Linked DNA regions of Oryctolagus cuniculus. The protein of the gene in region 1 interacts with the protein of each later gene in a biochemical or structural test. Links are inferred from orthologs where the notes say so. Each region holds a gene or a part of one and is shown on either strand. Other genes may lie near its edges.

Region 1 (5,026 bases):
AAAAATTAAAAAATCGGAAACAATTTAAATGTCTCCCAATGTGTGACCAGTTAATATGGTACTTTTTTTTTTTTTTTGAAATATTTATTTATTGGGGCCGACGCTGTGGCTCACTTAGCTAATCTTCCACCTGTGGTGCAGGCATCCCATATGGGAGCTGGGTTCTAGTCCCGGTTTCTCCTCTTCCAGTCCAGTTCTCTGCTATGGCCCAGGAGGGCAGTGGAGGATGGCCTAAGTGCTTGGGCCCTGCACTGGCATGGGAGACCAGGAAGAAGCACCTGGCTCCTGGCTTCGGATTGGCACAGCGCCAGCCGTGGCGACCATTTGGGGGGTGAACCAATGGAAGGAAGACCCGCGCTGGCCCCCACATGTCTCTATTTCTTGCAACAAATGCATATTACTTTTCTAATATACAGTTATGGAGAAAAAAAATTTGTTAAAGATTTATCTATTTGAAAGGAAGAATTGGGTGGGGATAGGAGAGAGAGAGAAAATTTTCCATCTGCTGGTTCACTTCACTAATGGCTGCCGAGGACCGGTGCCGGTCCAGGCCTAAGCCGAAAGCCAAGGAGGTTCTTCCAGGTCTCCCACGCGGGTGGCAGGGGCCCAAGCACGTGGCGGTTGAAAACATTCTTAAAAACCTGCCCAGTGGTTATTTTGTACCTCTCTCAGATTTCTTAGCAAGAAAAGATCTGGGGCTGTACAATGTTCCTCTTCAGCTCGAAACTCAAAACACATCCACTCTGGACAGCTGGATAACGGTTCTTCACGGGGCCGCGGGGGCTCTGCCCTGAGGATACAACCCAGGCGGCTCCCCACTCCTGCACCGTGGGACTCAGCGGGCCCCAGTGTTTACCTTCTAATTTCAGGAGTTAGAATCGGTCTCTTTCAGATGTAAAGGAGGCAGCATTTGAATCACAAACCCTGCGGGTGAATGTGAGAATATGGGCATTTTCTCCCAGCAAAATATTCCTGGCTACCTCCCGCTAGTCTCCAGCTAGATCACGAACACTGCCTGGCCCAGGCTGGGCCGTGCACTACGTTATTCTGGTCCTGGTGGAGGGCTCAACAGACAAGGTGCTGAGCTAGCGCTCTGCTTTCAGCCCCTGAAAAACCACTTCCCACATTCCACGTTCGCCTGCTAGCAGGCGCAGGACGCTGGATTTAACTACGGGGCACCGCGTATTCGAGGTAACTGCACCAAGCACCTCCCCTAACGCTGACATGCCCTCTCCCGCCCGGGCCCTCGTGGCGAAGGGCAATCTCGGGGAGGATACCCCCGATCCCGGCGGGTGCCGACTGCCGCCACAAAGCTGCGGCCAAGTGGCCCGTGCAGACCCCAAGACTTCAGATAAGTCCGAGTCCGGCCGCTGAAGAGCTGTTTGACCTTGGACAAGTCCCTTCCGCCTTGCAGGGACTTTGCAACGTGCCAAGTGCCCGCTCGGGGGACTAACGCGGGAACGGGCTAGCGACCTACAAAGCCTCTGCTTTCACGTGCTTATCGAGCTTCAACTACACGCGCTGGGGGGTACGACACGCAAAGGATCCGAGGGGCGCCGCGCGGGAGCGACCAGAACCCGCGCCTCGCCTCTCGCGAGATCTCCCAGCGCTTCGCAGCGTCATCCCCTCGGCGGCCGCGGCGGCGACAGCGACGGCGCGTACGAGCCTCACAGGGGCGGCACGTATCCCTCCGCCGCCGGCGCGGCCCGGCCCTCCCTGCGCTGGCCCGCCAATCCCCGCGCCTCCCGGCCTGCCCCTCGGCCTGGGCCCACCCCGCGCTCGGCGGCCCCACCCCGGCGGCGCCGCCCGCCCGCCCGCGCGTCCCTCGGTCCACCTGCAGCCCGCAGGAAGGCCGGCAGTCCCTCCGGCTGTTCGACCGAGAGGCGCCCGCCGAGCCCGAGGCTTGGGCGCTTGCTCCCCGGCGGAGGGATCCGTGGCGGCTGAGGAGGCGGCGCTGAGCCTGGGAGGAAGAGGCAGCTACGGCGGCGGCGGCGGCGGCGGCGGCTGGGGCGGCAGCGCATAAAGGGGCCGCCGCCGGGTGATGCGGTGACCGCTGCGGCAGGCCCAGGCGCTGAGTGGGCCCCGGCCCTCAGCCTGTCCCGTCGGACCCGCGTCCCCCACCTCCCCGTCCTCTTCTGCCGACCCGCGATCCCGAGGCGGCCTCAGCCCCCCTCGTCCCTTCCCCGTCCCTCCCCTGCCCGGGGGGCCGCCGCCACCCGCCTCCCACCATGGCTCTGAAGAGAATCCACAAGGTAAGCCACCCGGGGTCGGCTGCGGGGCGCGGGGCGCCGGGCGCGGGCCGGCAGAGCAGCCTGCGGCCTGCACTTCCCGCCGTCGCCTCCGCCGGGCTTGCGGTCCCTGGATCCCGGTCGGCTGCGGGCGCCGGCCCCGCGGGGCGGCCTGCACACCCCACTCCCAGTGATGGCGCCCGTGGAGGCCCCGGCGCGCAGCCTGCGCTGAGGTCGGAGGTGCCCTCGCCCCCTCAGCGCGCCTCCCCGGCCGCTTTTCCCGGCCCGCGAGGTGTTGAGTCCCAGGGCCTCCGTCCAGCCTGGTACTGCTGAGTCGAGGGCCATTGTCCGGCCAGGCCGGGGTGGGGGGTGGGAAGGCTGGGCGTTGGGCTGTCCGGGCGCGCCCGGTCTCTGCCCACTCCGCACCCCGCCTGCCCCAGTTGCCTTCGCAGAAGCCCCGGAGCTCGGGGCCCCTATCTCGGGCCGCTGGAGGAAGCCTTTTTGCCCGGCCCTCAAGTAGTTCTTGAGTTCACTTACCTCTTGGGCGGCTGCATGCTTGGGTCCATCCTGCTTGTCCAGAAACAGAGAGCACAAAGTTCGGAAGGAAAAGCTGACCCTGATGAGGAAGGAGGGAAGTAAAAGCAGAAGGCGGTTTATTGCTTTGAGATTCCCATATGTAGTCGGCCACTGGCCCTTGAGTTTTGCGAATTGGTCTGCTAGATAAACGATTACCCTGCAAGGGTAGCAACCAGTCGTTTCAGAAATCTGACCATAGGCAACCACAGGAGAAATTTCAGAAAGATTGCTTTCCGCAGTCTCTTCGCAAAATGGGCTTTGAGGTTGAAATTAGGCGATACTTTTAGGAAATCCTTTTTAGGAGGAGTTTTACTAGGTTTTCTGTTAGAAAGGACTTTGCTCCTTAAAAGGAATGTTTATTAATTGCGTTATTTGGAAGGAGGTTTTCCTGATCCTTGGCTGGAACCATAGCCTTCACCCGATATTGGAAGCTGTCAATGCAGCTTACTATTGTTTTTGTTTTTTTCCTTAGAAGTGAGGAGGCACCACTGACATTTCTTTGGGTGTTCCACTTGGCTAGTCAGATTGGCTATATTAACCTGCAGCTGCTTAGGGAGAAGTAGGTGCTGGGATCCTGAGTCCTGAATGGTGGTGATGAGCATGCAAAAGGGAGAGAACCAGTTTTCGTCTTGCCTTAAACTAAGAATGCAGGTTGATGATTTAAACACCTCAGTTCAGGCATTGATCTTCATTGCATTTCATTAAAGATTGGAGACTTTTATTGTGAAATTATATTTTTTAAAATATTTATTTACTTGTTTGAAAGAGTTACACAGAGAGAAGGAGAGGCAGAGAGAGAGAGGTCTTCATCTGTTGGTTCGCTCCCCAAATGGCTGCAACGGCTGGAGCTGCGCCGATCTGAAGCCAAGAGCCAGGAGCTTCTTCCGGATCTCCCACATGGGTGCAGGGGCCCAAGGACTCAGGCCATCTTGTACTGTGTTCTCAGGTCATAGCAGAGAGCTGGATCGGAAGAGGAGCAGCCAGGACTCAAACCACGGCACCCATGTGGGATGCTGGCACTGCAGGCGGCGGCTTTACCTACTATGACACGATGCCAGCCCAACATTGTTTTCTATAAATTAGATTAGATCATTAGCGACATTTTTGAATTTAAAGCAAATGATAAAGAGCAGACTTTAGATAAAGTAAATCTTGTAATAGAATGAAGTGTTTGTTAAAAGAAACTTGAACTTAAAGTAAGGTCTTGGGAGTTAAAAGCAGGAGCACACTGAGGAATGTTCTCCCAAGTGAAATGTTTGTGAATAAGTATTTTAAGACTTCTAGAAGTTATTAGGTTCTAACAGAGTTTAGTGGGGAAGTTATCAACCTGAGTTGACACTTGGTTTTATTTCTGTAGAAGAATGCTCTTATTTTAAAACCTAAAGAGGATTGTGAGTACAGTGTATAGTACTTCACAGATCCAGAAATGTAGCATTTAATCTGTGCATTGATATATTGTGTTATGGATAACTGCTTTGGAGAAGAAAATAGCACTTTGATTCACAATACATATTTTAATCTAGTAATACTTGTACCCACTAATAAGATTTCTTTTGAGTTACTATCTATTTTCTAGAATTGTCTTTTTCTAAAATATACCCTTAAAAAATTTTTTTTTAGTAAAAACAAGTTTGAAAATGATAATTTGAACTTTCAAATCTCAGCATTAACCTCTTTTTCCCCCCCTGGTTTTTTTTTTATTATTTTTTATTTTTTTTTTAAAGATTTATTTATTTATTTGAAAGTCAGAGTTACACAGAGAGGAGAGGCAGAGAGAGAGGTCTTCCATCTGCTGGTTCACTCTCCAGTTGGCTGCAACGGCCAGAACTGTGCCGATCCGAAGCCAGGAGCCAGGAGCCCCTTCTGGGTCTCCCACGTGGGTGCAGGGGCCCAAGGAGTTGGGCCATCCTCTACTGCTTTCCCAGGCCACAGCAGAAAGCCGGATGGGAAGTGGAGCAGCCGGGTCTTGAACCGGCGCCCATATGGGACGCTAACACTTCAGGCCAGGGTGTCAACCCACTGCACCACAGTGCCAGCCCCTCCCCCCTGGTTTATAATCTAGAGCCATCTTCAAAGTTTGACACCTTCTGTGAGACTATCAAGAATTAGAGAAATGAGATTTATTTATGCTGTACCAGTCAAAAAGATTCTGAAAGCAAAGTGGACTTAATTGTTTTCAAACTTTTTGTATGATACTAATTTTAAGTTGATTGGCAGATACA
Region 2 (4,235 bases), on another chromosome or scaffold:
GAGGGACATTATGGGGAGGAAGCCATTGTAATCCATAAGCTGTACTTTGGAAATTTATATTCATTAAATAAAAGTTTTAAAAAAAAGACTGAAGGTAATCAGCAAAACTTACCTACATTATAATCAAGAATTTTCAGAATTCAACTTCTGCCTCTCCTTGTACCACTGTGCAAAATATATTTTAAAATTCATTTAAAAAATAAACAGAGGGACTGCCATTGTGATACAGTGAGTTAAACTGCTACCTTCAACACTGGCATCCAAAATGTGCAGCAGTTTGAGTCCCAGCTGCTCCACTTCTAATCCAGCTCCAGGCTAATGCATCTAGAAAAACAGAGGATGATGGTTCAAGTCCCTGGGCACTTGCACAAACATGGGAGACCTGGATAGAATTCCAGGCTCCTAGCTTTGGCCTGGCAAATCAGTCTTTTTTTAAATTTTATTTGATAGACAGTGAGAGAGAGAGAGACAGAGAGACAGGTCTTCCTTCCGTTGCTTCACCCCCCAAATGGCCACTAAGGCCGGAGCTATGCCTATCTGAAGCTAGAAGCCAGGTGCTTCTTCCTGGTCTCTCACGTGGGTGCAGGGGCCCAAGGACATGGGCCATCCTCCACTGCCTTCCCAGGCCACAGCAGAGAGCTGGACTGGAAGAGGAGCAACCGGGACTAGAACCCAGCACCCATATGGGATGCCGGCACTGCAGGTGGAGTATTAACCAAGTGAGTCACGGCGCCGGCCCCCGCAAACAAGTCTTTAAACAACACTTTAAATAAACACAGTAAAAGATTTCCAATGAAGCAGAATTATTGCAGAAATAAAAAATAAAAGATGACACAGCTATGCACTTGATAGGAACAATTTTTTTAATTATACAGAGACAATTATTTACAATTTGCTAAAAATAAATAATTTGTGATTCTTTAATCAAGTTATTCTATTTCTTAAAACATGGTGGAGGAAACAATTTTGAAAGTAAACTGATACATATTATTAGAAACCATTTATTTACAGTGAATGAAAAACATTCAAATGGAAAGGATGGAAACACTCAAAAGGAAAAAATAGTTAAAATGGTACAGATGGGCTTAGACACAAGAGATGTACCCCAGGGTAAGAGATACCACACTGAAGTGGAGGGTATAAGGAGGCTCAACAGCTCAACTCGCAGATTGTCATGGGCTTTGGACAATGCATAGGATTGAAATATGGAAAAACTTCCTTAGAAAAAGAACACGCAGAGAACTTATATATGAGAAACTTGTGCTGTGTAACACTGAAAAATGAGACAATGCCAGCCTCATAGTCTATGAAAACTCCAATACGAGAAGGAGGAACAATGGGTGTTAAGGAAATGGCATTTTCCTCAAAAGAAATATATTGAATTTGCAACCCTATTACCCAGTAGCCATTTATAGGCCGATACTTTGAAACTTGTTCATAAGCAAACGATGTTGTGGTTTGCAATAAGGGTGGGCCATATACACCTAGGATCCAGGCACTTTTCCCAGACACATCTACCTCCCAGTAATGTTTCCCTGATGTGATACTTGGGCAACCCAGGATGCCATCAAAATAATTCTGCCTAGTCCCATATCGAAAGCCATGATCATCACTAAGAGAAAATAAATTGAGACGTTGATGGTAATGCACATACATCACTTGTCTCTTATTCTCAGAAATGACAATATTTTGATTGTTGCTTGGAGTCAATGTCACGTGAACTGTAGAAAAATAGAGGGTTAGGTTAGGGACATGATGTAGTTATTTGTATGTTATGAGAATAATCTTGAGAAGAACTTGAGAGTTTGGAACTTGGTGGAACTTTGGTCATCGGCAGAGGCAGAACACTGCAGAAACTCCATGTGTGTTGAAAAGAGAAACATGAGTGATCAACATGAGACTTACTAGAGAACAAAATTCTGAAAGATGGCAACAGGATGGCTTGTAATATTGTGATGTACACTTACCCCAATAGCGCTGGGCATGTCTCAGGTCTGAAATGATAAAAATCATAGTACTGAATATAAGCAAATAAGACAGCACTGAAATCTATTTCTTCACCAGATTAGGGGAAGGAGAGAGGACAACGGTAGGACAGTGAACCAGGACCTTGTGGTTCCCCATTAAATAGGACCACATTACCACACAACGTGCATCCTCCCTTGTCTCTTCAATACATATCTACGAACTGTACCCGCTTTCCCACTTAGTATCTCCTCATCCACAGCCAGACACTGGATCTAGCTCTCCTAACCTTGAAACATCTGCATTGTCCTTTTCAGCTCATGAATTTGAAATGATTTCCTTTCTTTCTCAGGAAAAGTTTTTGGCTTCTTCAAGGTGAAGGTCTCAGTCCTAAAATGCAAAAAGACAAAATTGACCTCCACACCTCTGACCCTGTGTTCCCCTAACATCAGCTTCTTATCATTTTACTCCACTAATGCACTGGAATCCTCTCTAAGGGGGTTCTTGAGAAGGGAGAGGGTAGAATCCTGCCAGAAGGAATTTTCTGATGTTCACTTTTCCATCTATTTTGCCTGTGTGAACCTGAACAGATCTGGACCTCTCAGAAGCAATTTCTTCTTTCTAAAATGAAATAATTAAATTCACCCTCTGCATATCCTAGACTCATAGAGGAAGATGCAATTATAGACCTGAAAATGAAAATGAAGTCAAACTTTGTTACCTTATAAAGTATTTAATATGTGGTAGAATCAATGCCTTGGGTAGAGGTTCCAAGGGAGATAGAAAGTGAGGTTGTAGAAACTGATTCCTGGAAGTTTGAGACATATCAAATGTGGCTTCCTATCTGGGGATTCCGAAGATCTTCAAAGACTGTTCAAAAAACAGCCTGGCCCTCAGACAACACCTGAGATCCCAGACTATCTGGGTGAAAATTACAAACACCTCACAAAGGACATATTACAAACAGCAAAGTAATACTAGTCTGAGTTCCATGTGTTTGGAAGGAGTTTGATTTTACAAAGGTTTAGACATCAAAATGACACCTTTCCACACTCTTTGAAAGTATCTGACAACTAAGATGGATCAAGTGTTTGTATGAGGGAACGAAAGCATTGTTCCAAGAGATTCAAATCTGTTTTTGAATATCTAAATAGAACCACGAAGAAGGACCTGATCATTTCTATTGCCAGAGGGGAAAAAATATGCAAGAACTGTCTCACTGGACATTATGGGTACTTAGCAGACAAAAACGATACACGCCCTCCAGAATATTATTTTTATGTACATAAACAGATCTAGTTGAAGGAACAGAGGGTAAATTCCATAGTGATATCACAGGGGTCTGACACTAATATATCTTATCCCTAATATCAATACTGACAGCAAACCTGTGACTTCCACAACTCAAATTCTCGACCATAGAATCTTGTCTGTTCCATGTAGTTGCAGAACAGTCAATCTGAGAATTATCATCAGAAATTTGGGATATCATGACATATAAATTTCCCCACCCTGGGTCTTTTTTTTCTATATGAATATTAAATAATTCTAATGGCTACAAATCTCTTCTCACAGCATCACAGGACCATCCCTGGATTCACACAACACGTACCTGTAAATGATGTCATTCACATCCTGAGGAGAACAGAAAAAAACATGAGTAATAATAGGCATCCCTTGCTTGCAATGCTTCATCACATCCCAATAGCCCTTGATGTGCTGAAAATGGACATGGTCCCAGTGTGAAAGAGAAGTAATTATAAGACTCAAGATAATCACCTCAGCAGGTTCATGTAAGGTTGTCAGTTTCCCAAAATATAGAAAAACTACATATCAACACATAATATCTGCCCGTCTGTGTCTGCTACCCATACTTAGAAATCGCAGGTTCTTCCCTTAGCCTCTCTCCTCAGGACAGTCACACACTTGATCTAACTCTTTAAATATCTGTAGCAGGGGGCAGCATTGTGCTGTAGTGGGCAAAGCCACCACCTGTGAAGCTGGCATCCAGTATGGGTGCCAGTTCATGTCTGGGCTGCTCAGTTTCCCATTCAGATCCCTAATAGTGGCCTGAGAAAAGAAATGGAAAATGGCCCAAGTGTCTTGGCCTCTGCCAACCCTGTGGGAGACCAGGACGGACCTCCTGGCTTCAGCCTGGTCCAGCCCTGGCCATTGCAGCCATCTGAGGAGTGACCCAGCATATGGAAGATCTAACTCTCTGTCTCTCCTAACTCTTTCAAATAAATGTTTTTTTTTGTTGTTGTTGTTGT

Evidence for each region.
Region 2: the proteins of UBE2D2 (region 1) and TRIM5 form a complex in vitro, tested with the Homo sapiens proteins (2 studies listed by BioGRID). The link is inferred for Oryctolagus cuniculus from reciprocal best matches to the Homo sapiens genes UBE2D2 and TRIM5.

What each region holds. Positions count from the first base shown.
Region 1 is NC_091437.1:27,258,651-27,263,676, forward strand, and holds the start of UBE2D2 (ubiquitin-conjugating enzyme E2 D2), read left to right. Parts: upstream 1-1,761; 5' UTR 1,762-2,228; coding exon 2,229-2,252; intron 2,253-2,765; exon of another isoform or gene 2,766-3,284; intron 3,285-5,026.
Region 2 is NC_091432.1:61,208,214-61,212,448, forward strand, and holds the end of TRIM5 (tripartite motif-containing protein 5), read right to left. Parts: intron 3,685-4,235; coding exon 3,578-3,684; intron 2,356-3,577; coding exon 2,255-2,355; intron 1,995-2,254; coding exon 1,968-1,994; intron 1,722-1,967; coding exon 1,150-1,721; 3' UTR 841-1,149; downstream 1-840.